Linked DNA regions of Stegostoma tigrinum. The protein of the gene in region 1 purifies or fractionates together with the protein of each later gene. This does not show direct contact. Links are inferred from orthologs where the notes say so. Each region holds a gene or a part of one and is shown in the gene's direction. Other genes may lie near its edges. The genes, in order: wasf2 and brk1.

Evidence for each region.
Region 2: the proteins of wasf2 (region 1) and brk1 purify together in Homo sapiens (co-immunoprecipitation; 3 studies listed by BioGRID and IntAct, with this or other methods). This does not show direct contact. The link is inferred for Stegostoma tigrinum from reciprocal best matches to the Homo sapiens genes WASF2 and BRK1.

The regions. Positions count from the first base shown.
Region 1 is NC_081377.1:43,675,155-43,690,205, reverse strand, and holds the start of wasf2 (wiskott-Aldrich syndrome protein family member 2), read left to right. Parts: upstream 1-7,676; 5' UTR 7,677-7,810; intron 7,811-15,051. UniProt on the Homo sapiens protein: Downstream effector molecule involved in the transmission of signals from tyrosine kinase receptors and small GTPases to the actin cytoskeleton. Promotes formation of actin filaments. Part of the WAVE complex that regulates lamellipodia formation.
Region 2 is NC_081364.1:11,922,852-11,938,197, reverse strand, and holds the start of brk1 (probable protein BRICK1), read left to right. Parts: upstream 1-9,621; 5' UTR 9,622-9,677; coding exon 9,678-9,795; intron 9,796-15,346. Other genes in the region: FANCD2 opposite strand protein-like, read right to left, coding at 4,203-4,736. UniProt on the Homo sapiens protein: Involved in regulation of actin and microtubule organization. Part of a WAVE complex that activates the Arp2/3 complex. As component of the WAVE1 complex, required for BDNF-NTRK2 endocytic trafficking and signaling from early endosomes.

The DNA.
Region 1 (15,051 bases):
GTGGTGTGTTGAAGTGGCAGGTAATCGGAAGTTCGGGGTTTTTATTTTAGGGCCTCTTTACCCCAAAACCCACACACCAGGCCTTGTCATCAGAGATATTGGGAACTGCAGATGCTGGAGAATCCAAGATAACAAAGTGTAGAGCTGGATGAACACAGCAGGCCAAGCAGCAACTCCTAAGATGCTGCTTGGCCTGCTGTGTTCATCCAAGCCTTGTCATCACACAGGTCATTACCACACATAAATTATTGCCAGCTACTAATCATCCCCATTAGCAATTGTTCATTCTCCCAGGCTGACCTTTACCCACTCCTCTTTAAGTCCAACTGATTTTCTCTCTCTTTGGGCTCTACCTCCACCCACCGTTTACTCCTTGCCCTTCCCTCCACACCATATCTTCTGCATAAGTACCAAACTTATCCACGCTACCAACCAATCTGAAGAAGGGTCTCTGAAGCCAAAATGTTAACTCTGATTTCTCTCCACTGTTGCTGTCAGACCTGCTGAGCTTTTCCAGCAACTTCTATGGGCAGCATGGTGGCTCAGTGGTTGGTGCTGCTGCCTCACAATGCCAGGAATCCAAGTCCAATTCCAGCCTTGGGTGACTGTCTGTGTGGAGTCTGCACATTGACTGTGTGGGTTTCCCCCAGATGCTCCGCTTTCCTACAACAGTCCAAGGATGAGACAACAAGGTGCAGAGCTGGATGAACACAGCAGGCCAAGCAGTATCATATGCAGGAAAGCTGATGTTTCAGGCTGAAGAAGGGTCTAGGCTCTACACCTTGTTATCCCAGATTCTCCAGCATCTGTAGTTCCTACTATCTCTGACACAGTCCAAGGATGTGCAGGTTAGGGTGGATTGGCCATTGTGCCAGGGATGTGCAAGTTAGGTAGGTTAGCCATGAGAAATGGAGGGTTATAGTTTAGGGGATGGGTCTGGGTGGGATATACTTTGGAGAGTTGGTGTAGACTCGATGGGCTGAATGGCTTGCTTCCACACTGTAGGGATTCTACGATTACTGTTTTTGTTTCTAACTTCCTGCATTTGCAGTTACCACTTTTTTCTTGTTTATAGAAAAGTACGAATCCGGAAAGGGAGCTTATGATTGCTCCATCATTCAGTAAGTCCATGGTTGATCTAATAACACCACATTCCTGTTTATTCCCAACAGCCTTTCACTTCCTTGCACAGTTGTCAGTCAAGAAACAGTATTGCTTACATATGAATTTTTCATCGCTATTTTAAAGTATAGGCCAGAAATAAAGTGATCAGTTCTCTTTCTAAATCAAAAGCAAACTGTAGCAAATGTTACAAATCTGAAATAAAAACAGAAAATACTAGAAATACACAGCAGGCCTTGCAGCATTTGTATAAAGCAAATTAAAGTTCATGTTTTTGACCCTACGTGACAATTTCAGTTATTCTGCCTCTTGATTTAGTTTTTCCTGTTAATATTCTCCAGCCACACAGCTCTCCATGTTCTCTGTGCTCCTTCATTTCTGGCCTCTTCAGCAATACCAATATCAACAGCAAAAACCGAAATGCTGGAAAAACTCAGAAGAAGGATCACTGGACCAGAAACATTAACTCTGATTTCACCCAGTAGAAGCTGCCGGACCTGCTGAGCTTTTCCAGTAATCTCTCTTTTTGTTTATGATTCCCAGCATCTGCTGTTATTTTAGTGTTTTTTTGCCCAATATTAACTGCTCCGCCTTCATCTCCAGAATTCTTTTCTTAAATCTCCCCATCCAGGCCTCTTCCTGCTAATTAAAGACACTCCTTAGAACTACTTCATATCTGGATAAGTGTCAAATCTGTCTTTTCAATGTTTCTGTAAAGTATCTTTACCACTTTTAAGGTGCTGTGTAAATACAAAGTACTATTGGTTCCAATTGTTCTGTGTGTTATTTCTGTCCCTTAATAAATATTAATTAGTACACTAATTAATTAACTTAATTAATAATATTAATTAAATAGTGTAGCCATCAGAATAGAACTTTCCAATGTCTTTGTCAAGACAAGAAGTTACAAGAATGGTTCATATTGTTTTCAAAACAGATATAAAGGGTTTGATTGCTTACCCTGGGAATACAATGCTTCTCTTAACATATGAGGTACTAGTTGGCAATGAACAGTAACTTCTAATGTGAAGCATGAATGGAAAACGTCAGACAGAAGGCTGAAATGTAACACAAATTACAGCGGTACTTTTTAATGATTTCAATGGTGTCACATATCCTGTCACACATCTAGAATTTTTTAAATATCTACTAAAGTTAGTTTTGAAATACAGTGAGTCAAGGCCTAGATTCTTGTTAATGAACATTAACAGGCCATAACCATATATAGGACGTCTTGTGGTCTTGCAGGCCTCACTCTCTCTCTCTGCATTCTTGCAGCCCCCATTCTCTCTCTGTCTGTGTTCTTGCAGCCCCCTCTCTCTCTGCATTCTTGCAGCCCCCTCTCTGCGTTCTTGCAGACCTCACTCTCTCGCTTTCTCTCTGCGTTCTTGCAGCCCCCACTCTCTCTGCATTCTTGCAGCCCCCTCTCTGCGTTCTTGCAGACCTCACTCTCTCGCTTTCTCTCTGCGTTCTTGCAGCCCCCACTCTCTCTGCATTCTTGCATCCCTCGGTCTCTCTCTCTGCGTTCTTGCAGCCCCCACTCTTTCTCTTTCTCTCTCTCTCTCTCACATCCCACTCTCTCTCATTGCATTCTTGCAGCCCCACTCTCTCTCTGTCTGTGTTCTTACAGCCTACTCTCTCTCTGTCGGCGTTCTTGCAGCCCCCTCTCTCTCTGCGTTCTTGCAGACCTCACTCTCTCGCTTTCTCTCTGCGTTCTTGCAGCCCCACTCTCTCTGCATTCTTGCAGCCCTCGGTCTCTCTCTCTGCGTTCTTGCAGCCCCCACTCTTTCTCTTTCTCACTCTCTCTCTCACACCTCACTCTCTCTCTTTGCATTCTTGCAGCCCCACTCTCTCTCTGTCTGCGTTCTTGCAGCCCCCTCTCTCTCTGCATTCTTGCAGACTTCACTCGCTCTGCGTTCTTGCAGACCTCACTCTCTCTCTTTCTCTCTGCGTTCTTGCAGCCCCCACTCTTTCTCTTTCTCTCGCACCCTCTGTGACTTGACAGTGCCACTTCACTCTTTCTCTCTCTCTCTCTCTCTCTGTGATCTGACAGTCATAGAGTCACAGAGCCATACAGCACGGAAACAGGCCCTTCGGCCCAAAACATCCATGCCAACCAGATTTCCTAAACTGAACTAGTCACATTTTCCAGCGATTTAGCTGATATCCCTCTAAACCCTTCCTGTCCGAATGTCTTTTTAAGTGTTGTAATTGTACTCTTCTCTACTACTACTTCTGGCAGCTTGTTCCATGTAGTTGGCACCCTCTGTGTGAAAAAGTTGCCACTAAGGTCCCTTTTAAGTCTTTTCCCTGACACCTCAAAGCTATGCCCTCTACTCCCCAACCGTGGGGAAAAGACCTTGGCTAATCACCTTAAGGATGTCCTTCATTATTATATAAACCTCTATGAGGTCACCTCTCAGCCTCCAATGCTCCGGGGAACAAAAATCCCAGCCTATGCAGCCTCTCCTTTACCTCAAACCTCCCAGTCTCGATAGCATTCCTGAAAATCTTTCTTGTGCCATTTCCAATTTAATAAAATCCTTCCCATAGCAGGGCAACTAGAATTGTATGAATTTCTCCACATGTGGCCTTACCAACGTCTGGTACAGTTGTAACATGATGTCCCAACTCCTATACTCAATGCTCTGACCAATGAAGGTAAGCGTACCAAACACTTTCTTCACCACCCTTTCTACCTGTGAGGTCACTTTCAAAGAACTATGTAGCTGTACCCTCGATCTTTCTGCCTTACAACATTCCCCAGGACTATACCATTAACTGTGTAAGTCCTGTCCTGGTTTGTCTAACCAAAATGCAATACCTCACATTCATCTGAATTAATATCCCTCTGACCTTCCTTGGCCCATTGGCCCAGCTGATCAAGATCTTGTTGCACTCTGAGGTAACCTTCTACACTGTTTTGGCGTTATCTGCAGAAGTACTAGCCATGCCTCCTATATTCTTATCCAAATCATTTCTGTAAATGATGAACGACAGTAAACATAGCACTGATCCCCATGGCACACTGCTAATCACAGGCCTCCAGTCTGAGCCACAAAGCTCTATCATCATTCTGTCTCCTATCCTCCCTCTCTGTATCTCTCTGTCTGTGACCTAACACTTTCCCCATGCTCTCTCTCTCTCTGTCTGTGATCTGGTAGGTCCCTTGTTCTTTCTCTGTGATCTAATAGCCTCCCACATGCTCTGCTTCTGTCATCTGACACTTCCCCTACTCTCTGTGTGAGCTGGTATATCCCTCATTCTCTTGTGATCTGACAATCCCCACACTCTCTCTGTATGATCTGGCAGTTATCCATGCTGCCCTGTTATCTGACAATCCCCACACCCACTATCTTCAATTTGGTTGATCCCGCCTCCCGAATCACTTTCTGTGATCTGACAGCCTCCCCACTATCTGTGATCTGGTAGATCCTTACCTCTCTCGGTGATACAACAAAGAAGAAAACAAAGAAAATTACAGCACAGGAACAGGCCTTCGGCCCTCCAAGCCAGCGTCGATCGAGATCCTCTGTCTAACCTGTCATCTATTTTCTAAGGGTCTGTGTCCATTTGCTCCCTGCTCATCCATGTACCTGTCCAGATATATCTTAAAAGATGCTAACGTGTCTGCGTCTACCACCTCCGCTGGCAACGCGTTCCAGGCACCCACCACCCTCTGTGTAAAGAACTATCCACGCATATCTTCCTTAAACTTTCCTGGCAGTTATATATATATCCTGGCAGCTATATGATCTGGCAGTTCCCATTCTCTCTCTGTGATCTGAAAGTCTCTCCGTTACCAGTGATCTGGTAGATAGCCCTACTCTCTGTGATCTGATGGTCCCTGCCCCCACAATCTGTGATCTAGTATATTCCGTCACTCTGTTATCTGACAGTCCACCCTTCCCCCACTATGTGTGATCTGGTAGATCCTGCTCTCTCTGTGACCTGACAATATCCCATCCCTCTGCAATCAGGCGGTCTCCTCCTCTATTTCTTTGATCTGACAGAATCCCCTCTCTCTGTGATCTGGTAGATTCCCACCCTCTGTAATCTGGCTGTTCTGGCACCCCCTGTCCTGCTGTGTGATCTGGTAGAATCCCCCCCCCCCCGCCCCCCCCCCCCCCGGTAATCTGACAGTGATTCCCCCCCTCTACAATATGACCGTGCTCCCCCCAACTCTGTATTTCTGGCAGTATTCTCCCACCCGCCGTATTTCTGGCAGTGTTCCCCCCCGCTGTAATCTGACAGTGTTCCCCTCTCTCTGTAATCAGACAGTGTCCCCCTCTCTGTAATCTGACGGTGTTTCCCCCTCTGTAATCTGACAGTATTCCCCCCCTCTGTAATCTGACAGTGTTCCCCTCTCTCTGTAATCAAACAGCGTCCCCCTCTCTGTAATCTGACGGTGTTCCCCCCCTGTAATCTGATGGTGTCCCCCAACCCTCTGTAATCTGACGGTGTTCCCACCCCGTATGGAATCTGATGGTGTCCCCCAACTATGTAGTCTGATAGTGCATCCCCTCCTGTAATCTAACGGTGTTCCCCCCCGCCCCACCGTGTAATCTGATGGTGTCCCCCGGCCTCTGTAATCTGACGGTGTTCCCCCCGTCTCTGTAATCTGACAGTGTTCCCCCCTCTCTGTAATCTGAAGGTGTTCCCCCCCCTCTATAATCTGACGGTGTCCCTCCTCCCTCTCTGTAATCTAACGGTGATCCCCCCGTCTGTAATCTGACAGTTCCCCCCCCCCCACTCACTGTAATCTGACGGTGTTTCCCCCCCACTCTCTGTAATCTGATGGTGTTCCCCCCCCCGTAATCTGACGGTGTTCCACCCCCCACTTTCTGTAATATGATGGTGTTCCCCCCGTAATCTGACAGTGTTCCCCTCCCACTGTCTGTAATCTGACAGTGTTCCCCCCCACTGTCTGTAATCTGACAGTGTCCCCCCCACTCTCTGTAATCTGACAGTGTTTCCCCCCACTCTCTGTAATCTGACAGTGTCCCCCCCTGTAATCTGAGTGTCTCCCCCCCTGTAATCTGAGTGTCTCCCCCCCGTAATCTGACAGTGTCTCCCCCCCGTAATCTGACAGTGTCCCCCCCACTCTCTGTAATCTGACAGTGTCTCCCCCTGACTCTCTGTAATCTGACAGTGTATCCCACCCAACACCCCCCACTCTCTGTAATCTGACAGTGTTTCCCCCCCCCCCACCGCCCACTCTCTGTAATCTGACAGTTCCCCCCTGACTCTCTGTAATCTGACAGTGTCCCCCCCCAACTCTCTGTAATCTGACAGTGTCCCCCCTCCACTCTCTGTAATATGACAGTGTCCGCCCCCCACTCTCTGTAATCTGACAGTGTCTCCCCCTCCCCACTCTCTGTAATCTGACAGTGTCCCCCTCCACTCTCTGTAATCTGACAGTGTTCCCCCCCCCACACTCTGTAATCTGACAGTGTCCCCCTCCACTCTCTGTAATCTGACAGTGTCCCCCCCAACTCTCTGTAATCTGACAGTGTCTCCCCCTCGGTAATCTGAGTGTCTCCCCCCCGTAATCTGACAGTGTCTCCCCCCCGTAATCTGACAGTGCCCCCCCACTCTATGTAATCTGACAGTGTCCCCCTCCCCCCTGTAATCTGACAGTGTTCCCCCCCATAATCTGACAGTGCCTCCCCCCCACTCTCTGTAATCTGACAGTGTTCCCCCCACACTCTGTAATCTGACAGTGCCTCCCCCCCACTCTCTGTAATCTGACAGTGTCCCCCCCCCACACTCTGTAATCTGACAGTGCCTCCCCCCCACTCTCTGTAATCTGACAGTGTTCCCCCCCCACACTCTGTAATCTGACAGTGCCTCCCCCCCACTCTCTGTTATCTGACAGTGTTCCCCCCCCACACTCTGTAATCTGACAGTGTCCCCCTCCACTCTCTGTAATCTGACAGTTTCTCCCCCCCCCACACTCTGTAATCTGACAGTGTCCCCTCCCCTCACTCTGTAATCTGACAGTTTCTCCCCCCCCCACTCTCTGTAATCTGACAGTGTTCCCCCCTCTGTAATCTGACAGTTTCTCCCCCCCCCACTCTCTGTAATCTGACAGTTTCTCCCCCCCACCCACTCTCTGTAATCTGACAGTTTCTCCCCCCCCCCACCACTCTCTGTAATCTGACAGTTTCTCCCCCCCCCCCCCCCTCTCTGTAATCTGACAGTGTTTCCTCCCCGATTTTTGCAGGTTTTGCTCAGACCTGTTGAGGTATGTGCAACATTTGGAAAAGACCATAACGCCCAATGAAGAGGGGTAAACCGTAATATATACAGGTCCCAGAAGAAATTCTCTAGTCAACCTCTTGTCCCGTCCTGACTTAGCAAAATTTGATTTTAATTTTTTACCAGGAACAATGAAGCATTAAAAGAGCTACCCCTGTTTTAAGTGTATATCTCATTGTTATTAAATATTTTTCTCCCTCCTCCATCCGTAATGGTTTCTCCCGGATCAAACGCGGATACACGCTCACACCACCAAACGTGTGCTGTCAGTATGATTGCCGGCTGCGTTGTCCAATCAGAATGCGGATGTACCGGAAGCGGATCTGGAATCCCCTGTGTGGGTGTGGCTATGGTGGAGAGTTGGGGGGAATCAGGGCGGATGGCGGTTGTCTTCTAAGATGCGGGTTCGCGTCGGCAATCAGTTCGAGTGAGTTTCTGTCTGTCACGTCTTCTCATCTGGGCCGTTTCGGGCTACGGCCCCGGAGGTTTCGAACTTGGTGTGGTGGGCCGCGGCTTCAGTTTGTGCCGAATAGTGAGCGTTCAACCCGGAGCCGGGGGCAGCCGTGTCACCCACCCCCCCCCCCCCACCGCCTCCCCTCACCCCCCCCAACCACCGCCTCCCCTCACCCATCCCCCTACCGCCTCCAGCCCTCCCCACCCCCCTACCGCCTCCAGCCCTCCCCCCCCCACCGCCTCCCCTCCCCACCCCCCCACCGCCTCCCCTCACCCATCCCTCCCGCCTCCCCTCACCCATCCCTCCCGCCTCCCCTCACCCATCCCCCCCCCTACCGCCTCCAGCCCTCTCCCCCCCTCACCCATCCCCCCCCCTCACCGCTTACACTTCCACCCCCCCTCCGCCTCCAGCCCTCTCCCCCCCTCCCCGCCTCCCCTCACCCACCCCCTCCCTCACCGCTTCCACCTCCACCCCACCCCTCACCGCTTCCACCCCCCCACCCCCGCCCCTCGCTGCCTCCCCCCACCCAACAGGGCACTGAATGATTGATTATTTAGATGAAAATAATGTGCTAGGAAATGATAGAAAAGCTGGAGGTTGGCGTGAGGTAATGATGCTAGTTTATTGAGCTGGTGCAGATACAATGGGCCCAATGGCCTCTTATACCACTACAACCAGTGCAAAAATTGAACCCTGTTGACATCAATCAGCATTGAGGACTCATCCTGGGGCCTGCAACTGAAAATAATTGAGGAAAAGAAGGCTTTGCAAAAAACAAAAACAGAGATAGGTTTGGCAGCTATGAGTTTATGCAGCATTGGTGGAGAGAAAGCGCAACATTCAGAGTCCTGTAGCTCCTTCAGAATCTGTTCTGAAGAGTGGACAGAAGACATGAAACATTAACTGTTTTCTCCCACAGATGCTGCCACATGAGTTTCTGCAGCAACTTCTGTTTGTTTCAGATCTCTAGCATCTGCAGTTCTTTGTACTATTTAAGAGTTTAGTAATATTTGCCTTGACATTATTGAAAGTTGTATTTGTTTGGTGTTGAAAATCAATGGCCATAAACTGGTTAGATTTTCTTGACATAAGAGATGGGAAAAATTGCCAAAATGTTTCAATTTCAGGCAAAGCTTTGTGCAATTGCCCACTTTGGTCATTTAAACTTTCATTTTGAGGAAGGGGGAAATACTTTGTTCCGGATTGTGGTGAATTTAACCTTTCTGTCTGCTGTTAAGGAAGGCACCTCATTTCTCATACTTTTTATTCTTCCTCAATTGGATTATTTGAAATAAAGTTGAACTTTGTAATTTGATGGAATTTCCTAAAGAAAATATATTTTGTTGCCCTGGTTTTTAGTGTAATGTTTTTTAAAGAAAAAGTACTGTGAAGCTTTCAAAATGTCTTTCTTTCCCATGGCTTGTCTTATCAAGAAAAAGACATTTGTTTGTCAAAATAGAATCTGGTATGTTGTTGCAAAGTTAGAAGTTGGCATGTCATAATGTTGAACGTTTGCACAGCCATTCCAATCATTGAGTCATACTTGGGTGTGTACGCAGCTATTCTTGTCTTCCCACAAGCCATTGCTTTTGTATGTAATGTATGTTGAGGGAAGACATTTGAATCTGATTAGTTTCAAGCTGCGTTTTGAAGTCTAAAAATGTAAGCTTTTTCTAGAGCCAGAAGTTGCAATTAACAGATGCAACACATCAGAATCTGATGTAATCAGAAATCTTCAAAATGTTGTGTAGATTTACTATAAAAAGACTGGAGCGGGGTGGGGGGAAAGAAATTGACTTGTAATCTAGTTAGTTGTCTTGTTAATTGACCAAACACCAGACCTGGACTGCATACTGGCCACAATGTTTATTTTTCTTCTGATCGTGGGACTTGTAAGTAATTAAATTACTTTAGGAGCTGGCAGTAAGTTGGAGGTTGCATATCTTCATGTTGAAGATGTTTGCTCCTAAAAACTTGGTGTTATTGCTTTGAATCTCAGGGCAAGGTGGGCTTCTACACCACAGCCAAATTTCGGGTGGTAAATTAAAAAGCAATCTTTGGCATTAACTCGCTGAAGCCTTTGGGGCCTTTACAAAGGATAGTAAGCTCTTGGAATTTGAAGTCTCTAAGATTTTTAAGAAATGTGTTGCTCTGAAGGCAACATGGAAATTTTATTCGCCACAGGCTATTTCTGATTAGTCTTTGGACAATCCAAATTTCTGTTTGGTATGTTCGTATTTAATGTCATTGACACTGATTCAGAGTTAAAGGATCCCTTGGTAATACATTTAACAGCCCTGGAGCATCATTGTCAGATTTTTCTCATGGGGGTTAAGGAAAGAGGAAAAAGCAAAATATAGTTACCCCCATCCACTCCAGTCTGTCATCTAAGAATTCTTCTGCCCGGACCTTTTAACTTGCTTCCTCATAGGAGCATGAGGATGAAATAAAGGAAAAAGACCTGCCTTTATATACCATATTTCAAGACTACCTGACAAGTGGAGTTCTTCTGAAGCCTTCAGAGATAGTAGGAACTGCAAATGCTGGAGAATCTGAGATAACAAGGTGTAGAGCTGGATGAACACAGGTCGAGCAGGAAGGCTGAAGTTTCGGGCCTAGACCCTTTTTCAGAAAATTTTCTGAAATTTTTTGTTATCTCTGCTTCTGAAGCCTAGTCATTTATAGCGTAGGAAACACAACAGCCAACTTGTGATTAAATAGTGACCTTTGTTACAGCAGTGCTCCCTTGGTGCAGCATTGGACTGAGTCTTTTGACTTTTCTCCTGAAGCCCTGGGGTGGGAACTGAATCTCATACCTTATGACAGTGAAGTGAGACTGCTGTAAACTGCCATGGCTGACGTTCCTGCAGAATATACACCATTATCAGGATTTAAGGAAGACTGTTGCTCTGCTGACACTAGTATGCCCATCAGAAAACGTTAGATGAGCACATGTAATACCTGTGCTAATTTCAGCTACCTACTGTGTCCAGGCAGTTTTACTTAACCATAATTCTGCGAAGTTAGCTGGAAAATGTTTTTGAATTATATAGTATTTAAATAAGGTAAACTGAAGAGTGTCATTAAACCAGGCAACATCAGATATTTTTAAATGTTCTTCAATGCATTCTATTTTACAGTAAACATTGACCTCAATAAATTCTTGAGGCACTGTTAAATATTTTAATTCTTCATTTAATGTGTAGGCTAGGTTGTGTGACACTGAATTTGCTGTCTGTATGCTGAAAGTAGCAAATTACATGACTTAAAGGCATTTTGACTGGAGTTATAAATATTATCTGGACCTAGAGACAATGGTTTGATGGGCATCCTTGTGCTATGATTTGCTGTAAATGGGCATGAACTTAAAGGGATAATAAAATGTGAGGCTGGATGAACACAGCAGGCCAAGCCGCATCTCAGGAGCACAAAAGCTGACGTTTCGGGCCTAGACCCTTCATCAGAGCTCTCTGATGAAGGGTCTAGGCCCGAAACGTCAGCTTTTGTGCTCCTGAGATGCGGCTTGGCCTGCTGTGTTCATCCAGCCTCACATTTTATTATCTTGGAATCTCCAGCATCTGCAGTTCCCATTATCTCATGAACTTAAAGGGATGTGTTTTTGCAAATACAAATGTTTCGACTGTAGCATTTAATAACCTTTGCACATCATAAACTTAGCGTAACAAGCATAAACGATTAATTTTGTAATTGTTGAGACAAGAGAATAATGAAGCTGACCAGACTCTCTGAAATATTTGGCTGGATATACTGAGCTGTGTTAGCTTTTGAGATTAGATTGGAGAGGTGGATAAAGAGAATAGGAACAGCGGGGGTAAATGTAATTAGATAATTTGTTTATATGAAGAAACATTAGCTTGTTTCTTGATTACAGCATGTACTTCTGTTTACATACAATGGAAGTTTTTTTGTTTTGTGTAGTTTCCTCAATGATTTTATGCTCAATCCTTTTAAGAAGAGGAGTACGACGAACCTTGTTGGTTACATTTTGTGTTGTTTTTAATTGTCGCAGGTAGTGCAGGAGTTATGATGTTTGACTCCTAAATTGTTATCTGTTCAATTAAGACCGCTTGATATTGAAATCTTAATTTCAGAATCTACTAAAGTCTATACATGGCATGCAACTCTAAACTGTTTCATAAATTAAGCAGTTGTATAATTAATCTGGTAAATAGGATTTGAAAAATTCAATCATCTTTGACCTCTGTGACAAAAATATGCCAGCTTGTACTGCATTTTTTGTAAATGCTAACTGAGTGAAAACTATGTAACTCCAAATGTACAAAATGTTGCTGTGAAAGCTAGCACAAAGTGAGATTGACAGCAGATGTTCAAAACATGTTTTTCCTTCCCTTCAGTATAATTTGAAGTTAGTTTGTCACATGCAGTAAGGCTAATTTTTATATATAATAATTGATATTCCAATCAGATGCTCACCAAAATGAATAACAAAAGTTATAACTGATCTTATTTAGATTAGATTCTTAGATCCCCTACAGTGTGGAAACAGGCCCTTCAGCCCAACAAGTCCACACCTACCCTTGAAGCATCCCACCCAGAACTACCCTGTATAATCCACACACCCCTGAACAGTACGGGCAATTTAGCAAGGCCAATCCACCTAACCTGCACATCTTTGGACTGTGGGAGGAAACTGGAGCACCCGGAGAAAACCCACGCAAACACGGGGAGAATGTGCAAACTCCACACAGACAGTCGCCCAAGGTGGGAATCGAACCCGGGTCCCTGGCGCTGTGAGGCTGCAGTGCTAACCACTGAGCCACTGCCGTATTCTTACTTGGCTTTTATCATTTCTTTCTATTTTGCTGGATGGTGTGGGTTCAGAGCTCTGAAAATCAATCATGGCTTCCCTGTGATCTGACTCCACTTTATTCTTGCTTTTGTAGTCAACAGAATAACCAGTTGCTTGTAATATGTTAGGGACCCCTCATAAAATTTAAGTTGGTGGGAATCAAAAAAATCTCTCCACTGGCTGAAGCCACATTTAACCTTAAGGAAGATTGCAGTGTTTGTTGAAGGCCTGTCATCTCACTTCCATGAAACTGGCACAGGAATTCTTCAGGGCATGTTCTCTGCCCAACCATCTTGAATGGCTCCATCAATGACCTTCCCTCCATCACAAGGCCAGAAATTGAGATATTCAATTTGTCCAAATGTAACAGGGCTGGGACATTATTTAAGCTTCAGCTAATAAGAGATAAGTAACACTTTTACCACACAAGTGCCAGGCAATGACCATCTCATCATATTACCAAAAATATGAAACTGAATCTTATCGACCATATAAATGGTGTGGCTACAAGAGTAGGTCAAATGAATACAATCACCTATTGACTGCCAAAGCTGCATCTTCTATGAAGAATAAGTCATGACTGTGATGGAATATGTTCCGTTTGTCTGGATCGGTGCAGCTCCAACAATGATCAATAGCTTGACGCCACTGAGGAGAAAGGAGACTTGCTCTGTACCCTATTCTCCATGTGAAAAGTTCAACCCCTCACCGATGACAGCAGCATACATATTGCTGTAATTCACCATGACTCCTTCAGCAGCTTTCAAACTAATACCTCAATTATCTGAATAAGCAAGGGCACCAGATGTGCAAAGACACAATTCTGATTCTCTCCAAGGCTTGCTAAATCAAGTTGGGATTAAATCACTGTTCAAAAACTTGAAGTTTTCTTCTTAACAGAATTATCAATGTACCTAGAGCACCATGGTCTTTCTCAGTTTGAGAGAGTGGGAAACCTACCCAACTTGGAGTCCTTTGAGGATTAGCAGTGTGTGCTGGAATTACCATGCTAATGTCCCATTGACAAAAACAAAGTTTCCTCTGTACATTGGCTGCAAGGTTCTATCAGATGCTCTTATGTGAATTTTTTTCTGTTATAGATTGGTAAGTGTTTCTTTTTCAACCATGCTGCTTGAAACTGGTTGTTTCTCAAACTTAAGATTTAGAACAAACAAACCTTGTTTAACCCCCTGTAATATATTTCCAAGTGTGCAATTTGCCAGCTGTCTTACCATGTGGCCAATTATGATAAATAGAATTCTCCACCGCAGTGATTTAGACAGGATGCAAGTGGGCAAATGCACAGCAGAATTATTGTAATGTGATAGGTGTGAAGTTATCCATTTTCATGGGAAATGTAGAATGGCAGTGCATTGTTTTAAGTGGTGATGTTGGGAAATGATGCACAAAAGGACATGGCTATCCTTGTGTGTCAGTCACAGAAATGTGGATGCAACATGCAGTTAGGAAAACAGGTAGTATGTTGGCATTCATTGCAAGAGGATTTGAGGAGAAGAGCAAGAAAGTCCTTCTGATTCTGTATGCTGCCTTGATGAGACCAAACCTGGAGTATTGTGTGTTTTTTTTCTCCCCCCATCTCTTGGTATACTGCAATCCTTCTAACAAGTTTCTTTTAAAGGTTCACCAGACTGATTTCTGTGGTCGCAGATTTGTCGTATGAGGAGAGATTGGGTTCTCCGGGCTGGTATTCACTGGAGTTTAGAATGAGAGGGGATCTCATTGAAACATTAAATTGACAGGTCTGGACATACTGGATGCAAGTAAGATGTTTACCCTGGCTGGGAAGTCCTGAGGAGGAGGTCACAATCTTAGGATACAGAGTAGACCCACTTTGGATTGCGATTCACTGTGTGGTGAGCCTGCAGAGTTCTCTGCCACCAAAATCAGTGGAGCAGTTACTGAACAGTTTAAGAAACAAATAGAACAAACAAATAGAGACTAAAGGCAGCAGAGTATGCTCTTGAGGTGTAGGAATAGCTGCGATCATGGTGACGAAGGCTTGATGGATCGAATAGCATACATTTTCGATGTTTGGTGTAATCTCAAGTTACCCTGACTTTTTGTTTGTCAGCTGCCAGTGAACCTAACCTTGTGTCTAGCAGTTTTCAAACACCCTCTTGACTCTTCTCCTGATTGATTTGCCTGCCATCATATTTCAGAGATGAAGGTTGAGTGTTGTGTTCTCATTTTATCAACATCTCAACATCTTTGCACTTTCCAGATATAGTATGAAGATCTCCATGAACGGTTTTGTCAGTTGTTTTGAGCATTCTCCACTCAGCTTACGTGTTTTTGGCCATTTTATTATATTTCCAAACAAAAACAATTTTTCAAACCAGATGATTGCAAGGAATTTGTATTG
Region 2 (15,346 bases), on another chromosome or scaffold:
ACTGTGGCAGGCTGTTGCTTGACTCGTCTGTGAGACAGCTCTCGCAATTTTGGCATAACCCCCAGATGTTATTAAGGACGGCTTTGCAGGGTTGATAGGGCTGTTTCTGAGGGTGTCTTTTCCACTGCCTAAACCGATGCCTGGTGATCCATCTGATTTGACATTGATTTTACGTTGACAGGCCGACGAGGGGAGAGGCCATTCTAGACTTGGTGCTCGGAAACGAGCCGGGGCAGGTATCAGATCTTGTGGTGGGGGAGCATTTTGGTGATAGTGACCATAACTGCCTCACATTTTACATAGCTATGGAGAAGGAGAGGATTAGGCAGAATGGGAGGATATTTAATTGGGGAAGAGGAAACTATGATGCGATTCGACATGAGTTAGGAAGCATGGACTGGGAGCAGTTGTTCCATGGTAAGGGAACTATAGACATGTGGAGATGGTTTAAGGAACAGTTGTTGGGAGTGATGAGTAAATATGTCCCTCTGAGACAGGCAAGAAGGGGTAAGATTAAGGAACCTTGGATGACGAGAGCGGTGGAGCTTCTAGTGAAAAGGAAGAAGGTAGCTTACATAAGGTGGAGGAAGCTAGGGTCAAGTTCAGCTAGAGAGGATTACATGCAGGCAAGGAAGGAGCTCAAAAATGGTCTGAGGAGAGCCAGGAGGGGGCACGAGAAAGGCTTGGCAGAAGGAATCCGGGAAAACACAAAGGCATTTTACACTTACGTGAGGAATAAGAGAATGGTCAAAGAAAGAGTAGGGCCGATCAGGGATAGCATAGGGAACTTGTGTGTGGAGCCTGAGGAGGTAGGGGAAGCCCTAAATGAGTTTTTTGCTTCTGTCTTTACGAAAGAAACGAACTTTGTAGTGAATGAAACCTTTGAAGAGCAGGTGTGCATGCTGGAATGGATAGAGATAGAGGAAGCTGATGTGCTGAAAATTTTGTCAAACATTAAGATTGACAAGTCGCCAGGCCCGGATCAGATTTGTCCTCGGCTGCTTTGGGAAGCGAGAAATGCAATTGCTTCGCCACTTGCGAAGATCTTTGCATCCTCGCTCTCCACTGGAGTCGTACCTGAGGACTGGAGAGAGGCAAATGTAATTCCTCTCTTCAAGAAAGGAAATAGGGAAATCCCCGGCAATTATAGACCGGTAAGTCTCACGTCTGTCGTCTGCAAGGTGTTAGAAAGGATTCTGAGGGATAAGATTTATGACCATCTGGAAGAGCATGGCTTGATCAAATACAGTCAACACGGCTTTGTGAGGGGTAGGTCATGCCTTACAAACCTTATCGAGTTTTTTTGAGGATGTGACTAGAAAGGTTGATGAGGGTCGAGCTGTGGATGTGGTGTATATGGACTTCAGTAAGGCATTTGATAAGGTTCCCCATGGAAGGCTCATTCAGAAGGTCAGGAGGAATGGGATACAGGGGAACTTAGCTGCTTGGATACAGAATTGGCTGGCCAACAGAAGACAGCGAGTGCTAGTAGAAGGAAAATATTCTGCCTGGAAGTCAGTGGTGAGTGGGGTTCCACAGGGCTCTGTCCTTGGGCCTCTACTGTTTGTAATTTTTATTAATGACTTGGACGAGGGAATTGAAGGATGGGTCAGCAAGTTTGCAGACGACACAAAGGTCGGAGGTGTCGTTGACAGTGTAGAGGGCTGTTGTAGGCTGCAGCGGGACATTGACAGGATGCAGAGATGGGCTGAGAGGTGGCAGATGGAGTTCAACCTGGATAAATGCGAGGTGATGCATTTTGGAAGGTCGAATTTGAAAGCTGAGTACAGGATTAAGGATAGGATTCTTGGCAGCGTGGAGGAACAGAGGGATCTTGGTGTGCAGATACATAGATCCCTTAAAATGGCCACCCAAGTGGACAGGGTTGTTAAGAAAGCATATGGTGTTTTGGCTTTCATTAACAGGGGGATTGAGTTTAAGAGTCGTGAGATCTTGTTGCAGCTCTATAAAACTTTGGTTAGACTGCACTTGGAATACTGCGTCCAGTTCTGGGCGCCCTATTATAGGAAAGATGTGGATGCTTTGGAGAGGGTTCAGAGGAGGTTTACCAGGATGCTGCCTGGACTGGAGGGCTTATCTTATGAAGAGAGGTTGACTGAGCTCGGTCTCTTTTCATTGGAGAAAAGGAGGAGGAGAGGTGACCTAATTGAGGTATACAAGATAATGAGAGGCATGGATAGAGTTGATAGCCAGAGACTATTTCCCAGGGCAGAAATGGCTAGCACGAGGGGTCATAGTTTTAAGCTGGTTGGTGGAAAGTATAGAGGGGATGTCAGAGGCAGGTTCTTTACGCAGAGAGTTGTGAGAGCATGGAATGCGTTGCCAGCAGCAGTTGTGGAAGCAAGGTCATTGGGGTCATTTAAGAGACTGCTGGACATGCATATGGTCACAGAAATTTGAGGGTGCATACATGAGGATCAATGGTCGGCACAACATTGTGGGCTGAAGGGCCTGTTCTGTGCTGTACTGTTCTATGTTCTATGTTCTATTTCATTTCTTTGAAACTTCATTGTGATTTGTACAACTGAATGGCTTGCCAGACCATTTCAGAGGGCAACTGAGAGTCAACCACATTGCTGTGGGCTCCATCTCAGCTTGACCAGGTGAAGGTGGCAGATTTCCTTTCCTGAAGGACGTTGGTGAACGAGATGTGTTTTTCCGACATTTGGTTTCATAGTCACCAGCAGATTCTTAATTCCAGATTTTTTTAAAAAATCGAATTCAAATTCCACTGTCTGCTGTGGTGGGATTCGAACCAGGATCCTCAGAACATTAGCTGAGTTTCTGGATTTAAAAAAATCTAGTGATAATACCAAGATAATAAAATGTGAGGCTGGATGAGCACAGCAGGCCAAGCAGCATCTCAGGAGCACAAAAGCTGACGTTTCGGGCCTAGACCCTTCATCAGAGAGGGGGATGGGGTGAGGGTTCTGGAATAAATAGGGAGAGAGGGGGAGGCGGACCAAAGATGGAGAGAAAAGAAGATAGGTGGATAGAGTATAGGTGGGGAGGTAGGGAGGGGATAGGTCAGTCCAGGGAAGACGGACAGGTCAAGGAGGTGGGATGAGGTTAGTAGGTAGATGGGGGTGCAGCTTGGGGTGGGGGGAAGGGATGGGTGAGAGGAAGAACAGGTTAGGGAGGCAGAGACAGGTTGGACTGGTTTTGGGATGCACTGGGTGGAGGGGAAGAGCTGGGCTGGTTGTGTGGTGCAGTGGCGGGAGGGGATGAACTGGGCTGGTTTAGGGATGCAGTTGGGGAAGGGGAGATTTTGAAACTGGTGAAGTCCACATTGATGTCAAGATATTGATATCAATGTGGACTTCACCAGTTTCAGGTATCAATGTGGACTTCACCAGTTTCAAAATCTCCCCTTCCCCAACTGCATCCCTAAACCAGCCCAGTTCGTCTCCTCCCCCCACTGCACCACACAACCAGCCCAGCTCTTCCCCTCCACCCAGTGCATCCCAAAACCAGTCCAACCTGTCTCTGCCTCCCTAACCTGTTCTTCCTCTCACCCATCCCTTCCCCCCACCCCAAGCCGCACCCCCATCTACCTACTAACCTCATCCCACCTCCTTGACCTGTCCGTCTTCCCTGGACTGACCTATCCCCTCCCTGCCTCCCCACCTATACTCTATCCACCTATCTTCTTTTCTCTCCATCTTCGGTCCGCCTCCCCCTCTCTCCCTATTTATTCCAGAACCCTCACCCCATCCCCCTGTCTGATGAAGGGTCTAGGCCCGAAACGTCAGCTTTTGTGCTCCTGAGATGCTGCTTGGCCTGCTGTGCTCATCCAGCCTCACATTTTATTATCTTGGATTCTCCAGCATCTGCAGTTCCTATTATCTAGTGATAATACCACTTGGCCACCTCATTAATTCCACTTGTACACACACAGAGCAGGAATAGTAGCCTGATGTCAAACTACTTCTTGCCCAATGGTTGATTTTGCTTTTAAAAAGAAAATGGTTCAAAGGCTAAGGGGAGATAAATATCTCACGTGTTTGTGTATCCCTAAGAAAAATAACAGCTACCTTCTACCCAGCAACTACAGTAGTTACAGGAAAGCTCTGCGCATGCTACTGCTCTGGCTGAAGGAATCTGTAGAGAGAAGTAATGGGAAAAAAGTTCACTTTATTTTTATTTTAAAAAGTCTTTTAAGAAACAAGTTTAGTAAAGTATCAAATTTGATGTTGTAACAGGTAAAAACATTTCTGGTAAGCTGTGTAAATCAAGGTGACAAGCCTTAATAATTGCCTATAAAACATCATGATAAAATTAATTTTATACCGTGCAGTTAAAGTCGGTATGGGGGAATCGATGCTGATCTCAGTAAAAGCTGAGCTTTCTGAAGCACGAAAGCCCCCTGCAAGTTTTGGTGCTCTGCTGGTGATAGCTCTCCCAAATACAGAATCAACGGAGCTGAGTTTGACGGGATGAGGTTTATGTATGATTGTTGCATTATCATATTCATCTTCTGAAGTGTGGCACATCTCAGAAGTGAGTTTCCCTGTGTCCCCTAGAAGATCCAAGAGATTCCAGTCATCAGTTGCGACGTCATTTTGCAGGTAGAGGGCCACTTCTTGGTCTGATGGTGAAGACATCTGTATGATCTCCGTTCCATCTCGTTTCTGAAGGGACTTGCGACCGTATCTGACCCATTGAAAATGATCCTCAAATGGAGTCCAGGGATGCCACACTTGATAGGTGGTCATCTTCAATTGTAAAGATCCCAAAAGATCAGGTTCATGAAAAGAGGGGAATTGTCAAGTTATTTATGGTTATGGTGGAAAAAAATCCAATTGCATTTGAAGATTATTTTTGACATTTGCACTGTCATATAATGTTAAACTCAAAATGCAACAACTACCATATGTCATTAATTTAGAGCAATCACGGCACCCTATTAGAAGAAGGCTAAATTTCAAAACTACTTATCCTTGCATTCAAATACCTCTATAGCTTTTCTCATCCCCATCTCCACCCCAATTTTGGACTTGTACATTCCTGGCTTTAATCCATGCTTAGTGATTAAGTATTGCTGGAGTGGAAATTTCTGCAAGTGAAAATTCCGGACAGACTGAACTGGAACTATACCGTGCCCCATCTCTAGCCACTTACGAAAAGGTGCTGTTCAGAAGGACATAAAAAATTTGGTGAGTGGGAAGATTGTTGGCAAGTGAAGTTCAATGCAGTGAATTGCAAAATGATAGATTTTGGTAAAGCCATGGAGAAATTATATAAAGGATGAAAAAAAAGGCAATGATTTAGTGGCATTATCGCTCGACCATTAATCCAGAGGGCCTCATAACATTCCCGGGACCCAGGTTCAAATCACATCATAACAAATGGTGGAATTTTACTCTATAAAAATCTGGAAAGAAGAGTCTAATGATGACTGTGAAACTATTGACAATGGCAAGGAAAAACACATCTGATTCACTTTCGGGCAAGGAAGACAAAGAATAATACAGCACAAGAACAGGTCCTTTGACCGTCCAAGCCTGAACCGTTTTGCTGTTCCATACTAAAACTGTCTTCACTTACAGGATCCATACACCTCTATTCATGTATTTGTCCAGGTGCTTCTTGAATGTTGCTACTGTGTTTGCTTCCACCACCACTCGTAGCAGTGTCTTTCAGGCACTCACCACCCTTTGTGTGAAAAACTTGCCTCTGCTAAAAATCTTCCATCTTTATCTGGTATGGCCTACATGTGACTCCAGACCCCCAGCAATGTAGTTGATTTTTAACTGCCTTCTGGGTAATTAGGGATGGGCAATAAATGCTGGCACTAGCCCACATCCTGTGGATGAATTTAGGAATAAAAAGCAGAGGGACGTTGGTATATTAAGTGCATAAGTCATTAAAAGTGACAGGATCGGCTGAGAGTACTCATGAAACATATAATAGCCTAGGCTTCATAAACAAGAAGCACAGGGTACAAGAGCAAGGCGCCAATTTGAAGTGAAGGTACTGGTGTCATGGTAATATCACTGACCTAATAATTCAGAACCCCAGGATGCCATCTGGGGACTTAGGCTCAAATCTTGTCATGGCAGGACTTGAAAATTGAATTCAATAAAAATCTGAAATTAAAAACTAGTCTAATTGAAGTAGTCAAAATTATGAAAAGTCTGAGTAGACATGAATGGGTTGAATGGCGTACTTCTGCATTGTAACAATTCTGTGTTATTATTTTAATGTTTCAGACTTTTTTTTATTGCTGCAGTACCAATGTTTAAAAGTTAGGACAAGAGCAATTATCCACCCCCTCCACCCCCCCCCCCCCATTCTTTTTACCAGTGTTTGGCAGTATTACCTTCAGCTTTCAAGGCCTTAAGCTTTAAAATTCCCTCCCCAAATCTCTTTGCCTCTGTCTCTTCTTTTAAGGCACTGAGACAGGTATGTCTTGGACCGTGGGAGTTTTGTCACCTCTTCTAATGATTCTGTTGGTTAGATGTCAGTTTTTGTCTGAATATACTCCTGTGCGGGACCTTTGCTATTTCCAAGGAGGATGAACCAAAACTACAAAGAAATAAATTGGAACGAGTGAGGATGATATGCGAAAATGAGAAAGAAAATTGGAAAATTGTTTTACTAAGATGCTGCTTGGCCTGCCGTGTTCATCCAGCCCCACACTTTGTTATCTCGGATTCACCAGCATCTGCAGTTCCCATTATCACTGACTGTATAACCAGCTTTTGATGCCAGAAAGGCACTGTATTAAGTTGTGAAGAAGACATACGGAGTCTGCAAAGGGATATAAATAGGTGAAGGGCAAAAACTCGGCAGGTTTAGTTTAAACTCACGTACAAAAACATAACATTGTTTAAATGGAGAGCGATGGCAGAACTCTACAGTACAGAGGAATAAGGATCTCTTGGTACAAGAATCACAACATTCAGTCATAATGTCATACAGTACAGAAGAGGCCCTTCAGGCCATCAAGTCTGCACCAAACTTGACACCAATCCCACTTTCCAGTACTTGGCCCATAGCCTTGAATGTTAAGGCATTTCAAATGCTCATCCACAAATGTTTTAAAGGTTGCAAGGTTTCCTACCTCAACTTCCCTCCCACGCAATGCATTTTCAGGTTCCTACCATCCTCTAGCTGAAAAGATTTTTCATCAAATTCCCTCTCAGACTCTTCTCCTTCACCTTCTAAATAAAGCCCCCTTGTTATGTCCTTTCAACAAAGGGGAACAGCTGCTTCCGTTCCAATCTGTCCATAGCCCTTGTAATCCAATACACTCTGAAGGGTTCTGATCTGAAATGTTAACTTTCCTGCTCCTCTGATGCTGCCAGGCATGCTGTGTTCCTCCAGCTCCACACTGTGTTATCACCTCAAACAGGTCATCCCTCAATCTTCTTAAACAACCTGAGCTCATCCAGCCTCTATGTGGCTAAACTGCTTCATCCCAGGCAACATCCTGGTGAATCTCCTCTGCAGGTCCTCCAGTGCATCACATCCCATTATGGGCGGCACGATGGCTCAGTGGTTAGCACTGCAGCCTCACAGTGCCAGGGACCCAGGTTCGATTCCACCCTTGGGTGACTGTCTGTGCGGAGTTCGCACATTCTCCCTGTGTTCTGTATGGGTTTCCTCCAGGTGCTCCGGTTTCCTCCCACAGTCCAAAGATGTGCAGGCTATGTGGATCGGCCATGCTAAATTGCCCATAATGTTCAGGGATGTGTGGGTAATAGGGGAATGGGTCTGGGTGGGCTGCTTCAAGGGGTGGTGTGGACTTGTTGGGCCGAAGGGCCTGTTTCCACACTGTAGGGAATCTAGTCTAAATTCTTTCTATATAATGCAGCTACATTAAGTGATTCAAAAGGCAAATTGAACATTTTCTTTTGCTAATTGCAAGGAGGACGGAATATAAATGTATGAAAAGTTTGCTACAGTTGTACAGAGTGCTGGTGAGACCACATCTAGAGTTCTGTGTACAGTTTTGATCTCCCTACTTATGGGGAAGAAAAAACATGATTTGCATTGGAAGCAGTGCAGAGAAAGTTCTTGGAATGAAGGTGGGGTAAATTACTTTGAAGAAATAATGTACAGGCTAAGTCTGTGGCCATTGGAGTTTGGAAGAATGAGAGGTGATCTTTTTGAAACATATCCTGATGGATGCCCAACATATGTTTCCCAATTTGGGAGAGTCCATATGATGGGTTACAGTTTAAAACAGCTCTCTTAGTTAAAATACAGATGAAGAGAAAAATGCTTTCTCATAAGGTTGTGAGTCTGGGAACTCTCTTCCTAAGGCTCTCTGATTTTTTTTAACGCTGATTTTGATAAATTCTTGACTAAGTAGGGAGTAAAAAGATATACAGGAAAGTTGAGATCTCAATCACATCAGCCATAACTTCATTAAATGGTGAAGCTTGCTTCAGGGGTAGAATGGCCTATTCCTAGTTCATCTGTTTCAACCATGCTTCTGCCCCCTTTGCAATTTTCATAATTGTCTAAATTTACCCCTTGTTTAATCATTACACAAATTGGTGAATGGGCTCTCATCGTGCACTGATATTGTCCCTACCTCCCAGTCGGAAAGCTGGCACACTAGTTTTGCATGCTCCATAGGGTGTGTTATACACATTCGGACAAGTTGATTAAAATGAAATCGCGACGTTTGGCGAAGTGATTGGGAGATGACGCCGTGCTAGCATTGTGGAAACCTGTAGTCGGGTGAGGGGACGGTGGTTTGCCATTTTGAGGATGGTTCGATGGGAACTAGACTTGACCTGAAGCAACATATTTTTCGGAAACGCTCACCTTTCCGATCCAAGGGGATCAGGATGAAAAAAAAACCTGGAAGGTAGGGGCTGTTTGGTCAAGTCGCACGTTCTTAGCCTCCTGATATGATGTATTTATTCGGTGAGGCATGAAAATTGCGTTCGGTTGCCTGGTTACCTACTAGGCGAATGTGTCAATGTCCATGCAACAACAACTCGATACAGCGGGATGGCAACGTCATAATGGTTGGAACGTTTGGTGATGTCTAAAGACTCTAACTTTGATACTGCATTTTTGGAAACACAAGGTTCCAAAGAAAGAGACTGCACATTTTACCAATCAGCTGGATCTGATACCACTGTTTCTCCAAGGATGAGCTTTTCCCAACAATTTCTGACTTTTTTTAAATTTCTGAGCTCCAGCACCAGTATTTTAATATTTTGTTGCCTTCATATCTATTACTGTTTCTCTCTTTCTGAATGAGTTTGAAACCAACTGGTAATTGTCACCCCGCCCTCTCATAACTTCAGCAATCCTCCAAATCTTCGATCTTCCTTTCGAGCAATTGAACGGTTCTCACCCTCGCCACTTTTCCACACCCACTCTAAAATCTCCACCAATCAAAGTTCTCGCCAATAGACTGACCAATAGGATTTTTATTTCCACGGAAAGGCGGTACCATCTTTTACGTTCTGCCAATGGAAAATCTTGTCTCGCCTTTCCCGCACCTCCAGTTCCACTTCTGTCCAATAGTCTTCGAGGAACTCGCGTCTCTGGGTCGTATGTGACCAATAAGATTGTCTAGATGGCCGGGTTTTGTGTTGCTCTGTCCAATCAACGCAGCGATTACAGTATCAGGGCGTTCCGGTCCGGGAGGAGGAGAGGGGAGGGAGAACTCGTTTGTTCTTTGGGCTATGGCGGGGCAGGGGGATCCGGTTCAGAGGGAGATCCATCAGGACTGGGCCAACAGGGAATACATTGAAGTGATCACCAGCAGCATCAAGAAGATCGCGGATTTCCTGAATTCATTCGGTAAGAAGCCTCCGGTGACAGCGCACCCACCAAAGCATTGCTTCCTGTTTAAGTCTGACTTACTGGGTGCCAGGAACGTAGGGCCTGGTTCAGCTGATGTCCTACGTTTGTCGCTGGCTTTAACTGTCGACGGTAGGGAGGAAGTTAAATTTGCATTTACTCTCCAGAGATCGTTTTAAAGGGTTATTTCGCGATGGGGCGGTGACGAACGGAAGAGACGTTCCAAATTGAGCTGTGCTTCCTTTTTGCCTATCAGTCGCCTCGCCCTGTCGTTCGTGTGTGAATCAGAGGGCTAGTAGCTATTTGACCAGAGTGGAGCAAGCTCGTCTCGGCTGGCCTTCAGACAGGGGTTACTGAAGCTAATTCGAATGCCCCACTTACCAGTGAGACGAACTCACTTAATGCAGTCTGGACGTTTAACTGGTTTTAAACTGTTCTGCGTAATGGACGTAATTGTAATGTCATGTCTTAGTTATGTTTAATAAAAGCAAAACAGTGGTGTTGGAGGTCTGAAAGAAGAACAAAAGTGCTGGAAAAAATTCAGCAGGTCTGGCAGCACCTGTGGAGAGAAGCAGCGTTTGCGTTTCGAAATCTACATGACCTCACTACTGAAGAAGTCTTACCAGACTTAAAATCCTAATTCTTTCTCTCTTCCCAGATGCCACCAGATTGCTTCAAAAATTATCAGCATACAGCGTAGAAGAGGCATTGAGTAAAAGGATAGACAAGTTGTGCTGCAGCTTTATAGATCTTTAGTTAGGCCACGCTTGGAATATCGCATACAGTTCTGGTCACCAGAAGGAAGTGGATGCTTTGGAGAGGATACAGAAAACGCATACAAGGATGTTGCCTGGTATGGGGGCTTCTAGCTATGAAGAAAGTTTGGATAGACTGAATTTGTTTCCCCTGGCAAGCAGGAGATTGAGGGGCAAGCTGATAGAAGTTTATAAGATAGAGTGGAAAGTATGAGGATTTTTCCCAGGGTGAAGAAGTCAATTACTAGGGGACACGCATTGAAGGTGTGATGGGGAGGGAAGCTTAAGAGATGTGAAAAACTTGCTGTGCACACAAGAGGTGGTGAGTACCTGGAACACACTGCCAGAGGAGGTGGTGGAAGTAAACACAGTAGCAACATTCGATAAGCACGGAGATGAATATATGAATAGGAAGGGAATAGAGGAATATGGATCCTGTAAGTGAAGACAGTTTTGGTATGGAAGGGCAAAAAGTGTTAGTATGGTCTTGAAGGGCCTGCTCCTGTGCTGTATTCTTTGTAAGAGACCCTTCGACCTCTATCAAGTCAAGATGGGCTTTTATTAAGGTAAATAGCCAAAGTCATTTTCCCAGGGTAGGGGAATCCAAAATAGAGAACGTAGCTTTTAAGGTGAGAAGAGAAAGACATAAAAGGGATCTAAGAAGGAACTTTTTCATGCAGAGGGTTGTGCATGTATGGAATAAGCTACGTGAGGTGGTGGAGGCTGATACAGTTACAGCATTGAAAAGCAGCTGAATGGATACATGATTAGGAAGGGTTTGGAGAGATATGGGCCAAATGCTGACAAATTGGACTAGATTAATTTAAGGTATCTGCTTGGTGTGATGAACTTGGACCGAAGGGACTGTTGCTATGTTGCATATCTCTATGACTCTGCGTCTTACTACCAAAAATGAACTACTATTTACACCAGTCCCACTATCCTGCACTGGGCCCGTATCCTTGAAAGTTGTGACACTTTGCTCATATGAGCAAAGATGATATGCTCATCCAAATACTTTGTAGAGGTTGTGAAGCTACCCTCCCAGACAACACATTGCAGAGCCTCATCGCACTCAGTCAAAAGGTTTTCCTCAAATGTCCTTTACACCTGCCTTTCAGTTTTGAATTATGTTCCCTTGTTGTTGTTGTCCCTTCCATTAAGGGGAACAGATGTTTTCTATTCACTGTCTGTGTGCCTCAAAGCCCACAGAAAAGTACAGCACAGGAACATTCCTTAAGCCCGCCATGTCTGTGCTGACAGTGATGCCATTCCGAACTAGTCCCATCTGTGCGCACGTGGATAGGAAAGGTTTAGACCAAATGCCAGTTCAAGTTAGAAAATCTGGTTGGCGTGGATGAGTTGGGCTGAAATGTCTGTTTCTGTACTCTGACTCAAGTTTTTCTACCCCTCTCTGCAATCTTATACACCCCTATCATATTCCGTCCTCACCATTCTGTTCTCCAAAAACAAAACATCCTGAGCATATCCAGCCTCAGTCCGGGTTGGAACATTTCAGCTGAGAACAGTGTCCAGGTGAATCTCCTTTGCACCCTTTCCAATGCAATCAGTCCTTCCCGCAGTCAGGTGACCAGATCTGCACACACTACCCCGACCTGGCCTAACCAAAGCCCTGTACAGTTTTAACATAACCTCTCTGCTGCTATAATCTGTCATGACTGATGAAGGCAGGCGTCCTGTACGCTGCCATAGCTACCCCATTAACCTGTCCTGTCACCTTCAGGGATTGATAGACCAACACCACAAGATCCATCAGTTCCCCTGAGCTTCCTGGTGTCATACCATTCATTGCATACCCCCTTAAGCTTATTCAGTATGTTCTGTTCTTGGTTAACATATGAGATATGATATAGGCCTTGCAGATTTCGCATATAAAGCTGCAGCATAAGTTGCCTATCCATTTACTCATTGCCTCTTCCAGTGAAGGCAAGCATTTTTACTTCGTATGGAAGGGTAAAATGTGCCAGCACAGTTTTGGAGGGGTGAAGAGCCTGTTCCTGTGCTGTATTGTTCTTTGTTCATTATCAGTTGATCATTGATATTTTTCACTCAACCTGTTCAGACATGTTACGATGCTTTGGAGCAGGTGGGAACTTGTAGGGACATGCAGGCCATGTCGATTAGCCATGGTAAATGCAGGGTTACAGGGATGAGGGGGCTAGGTAAGATGCTGTTCAGATGGCTGGTACAAATGGCCTCTATTGGCACTGCAGGGATTGTATGATTCTTTGACTTGAACCTGGAGCTGCTGACCCAGATGCAGGGACTCTACTGCTGTGTAACAAGGGGCTGTAAAATAATTTGACCCTTTACAATGACCATCGGGATACATGGTAACCAGAAATCCGATAAGTAAATAATTCAGAGGAAGTATCTTTACCCAAGTTGCAGAACTCACTTCACAGGGATGGTCAAGGGAAATCAGTTTACCTTTGCAGAAAAACCTGACAAACCTGTGATGGAGAAGATTATAATGGCAGATTGAGTTGAGGAAAGATAGGAGGGGGCTCATAAACCTCTTGTGGGAAGTCTAGGACAAGCGGGTATAATCTCAGTATGCCCATTAATACAGAGAGGAGGAGGAATTTCTTCTTTCAGACAATTGTGAGCTTGAGTTTATTGCACAGAACTGTTGAGTCTGCATCATTTTAAGAGTATTTCCAGGCTGAGAGAGATTTTTGTTTTATTTGGTAAGGGGTATGGGGAATAGGCAGGAAACTGGAGTTGAGGATTATTAGGTTAGTTGTGATCTCACTGGGTTCCTGGACAGACTCAATGAGCTGAATGGTCTGTTTCTTCACTTGCATCTTACAGTCAAAAATGGCATGGACTGATTGAGCTGAATGATGCGATCCTGTGCCTCAGATCCTGTCGTGAAGAGAAAAATGCTGCAATACTATCTAATTACTTATAATCTGTTACCTGAAGTTTGCTATTTTTTTCTTTGTGAATTACCTGCTGCCTTGTGTTAGTTAAGTCTAAAGCAACAGTTCATTCATAGCCATCAAATTGGGAATCTGTAAAGAAGAGCATCTATAATTCTGTAACATCAGTGAATTCCATCTCCATGTTAAAGGAAGCTTTTTTAAGGTCTCCTTTACCCTGTTAGCAGGACAGGAACGCTCTTGCCTAACTTCCAACACTACTTCAATACTTCAGTAGAGACTGTGAATAATTTTCCAGCAAATGGGGCGGCACGGTGGCTCAGTGGTTAGCACTGCAGCCTCACAACGCCAGGAACCCAGGTTCAATTCCAGCCCCAGGTGACTGTCTGTGTGGAGTTTGCACATTCTCCCCATGTCTGCGTGGGTTTCCTCTGGGTGCTCCGTTTCCTCCCACAGTCCAAAGATGTGCAGGCTAGGTGGATTGGCCATGCTAAATTGCCCGTAGTGTTCGGGGTGTGTGGGTTATAGGGGGATGGGTCTGGGTGGGATGCTTCAAGGGCCGATGTGGACTTGGGCCAAAGGGCCTGTTTCCACACTGTAGGGAATCTAATCAAATTCTTCACCTTCTTGAGTTGAGGTAAAAATGTGATCATCTGATGCCATATGCTTGTTGTGTTAATAGGGTACAAATGTTTTACCTGATGGAGGTCTGGTAGTTAGATAAGCATGTGTATTTCATAGAATTCCTACAGTGTGGAACAAGACCATTCAGTCCATCAAGTCCACAATGACCTTCTGACGAGCATCCCAACCTGAGCCACCCCTCTCCCTATCCCTATAACCCGTCATTTAGCATGGCCAATCCACCTAGTGTGCACATCTTTGGACTATGAGAGGAAACTAGTGTACAGCAGAAACCCATGAAGGCACAGGGAGAAAATGCAAACTCTAGCTGGAATTGAACCCAGACCCCTGGTGCTGTGTTGCCCTGCCTAAATGGGAAAGCATTTGTTTGAATAAGGTTGACTTTCGAGTTGTAATGAAAGTTCCGAAATGATTGATCCTATCGCTTTAAGAAGAGTATTTTGACCTGTTGTTTTTCCATTGAAGAGAGGTCTTGAGACAGTTGCAAAGCTGTCTATTGAAAGCCCATGTGTGTGTGTGTGTGTGTGTGTGTGTGGGGTTTTTTTGTTAGAAACAGTTGCAGCAATGCGGTCCAAGCTCCCACAGAACCAGGATTTTTGGTAGCTGTTGCTGAATTTTAATCTGGGTTTGGAAGCTGCAGTACATCTTTCCCTGCTATCCTCTCTCTCAGAATTTTCTCTTGATGTTTTTCCTCCTGGACTGAAGAATTGCTTGTCAGACAATCAAGTTTTCTGGATTTGACAGGGGTGTGTTTGTGGGATGTTATGATACTGGAACATGATCTATTGTTCTGTTCAGTTTTCCAGTAGAGTTAAGTTATTCCAATTTCTTTTTTTCTTTTATTGTAATTTAACTTTAGTGTATGAATAAAGTGTGTTTTGCGCCAAATCTGATAGTTTGACCAATCAAATTGCATCCAGAATGCAACACCTGGCACTTGCCTTTAAAAGAAAAAATAGTTAGCGTCAAGGCTAACTTAATTTTGAGGGGGTTTGGTGTGGTTCATAATATGATTGAGTTTTGAAGTGTTGTTTCTTCTGCCTATGCTTTTTTTTGTAGCCTGTGGTTTGAGTACTTGTGAGAATCAATTAATGCTCCCTTCCTGATTTCCGAGCGCGCTCTCTGGCCTGCCCACAAACATAGCTCGGCGAGTTTCTCATCTCAGCTATGAGATGAGCTTAATATGGGCCATAACTTGCCACTCTGAACTCTTATTATTTGTAACTGCTGCTACTGTGCAACCAG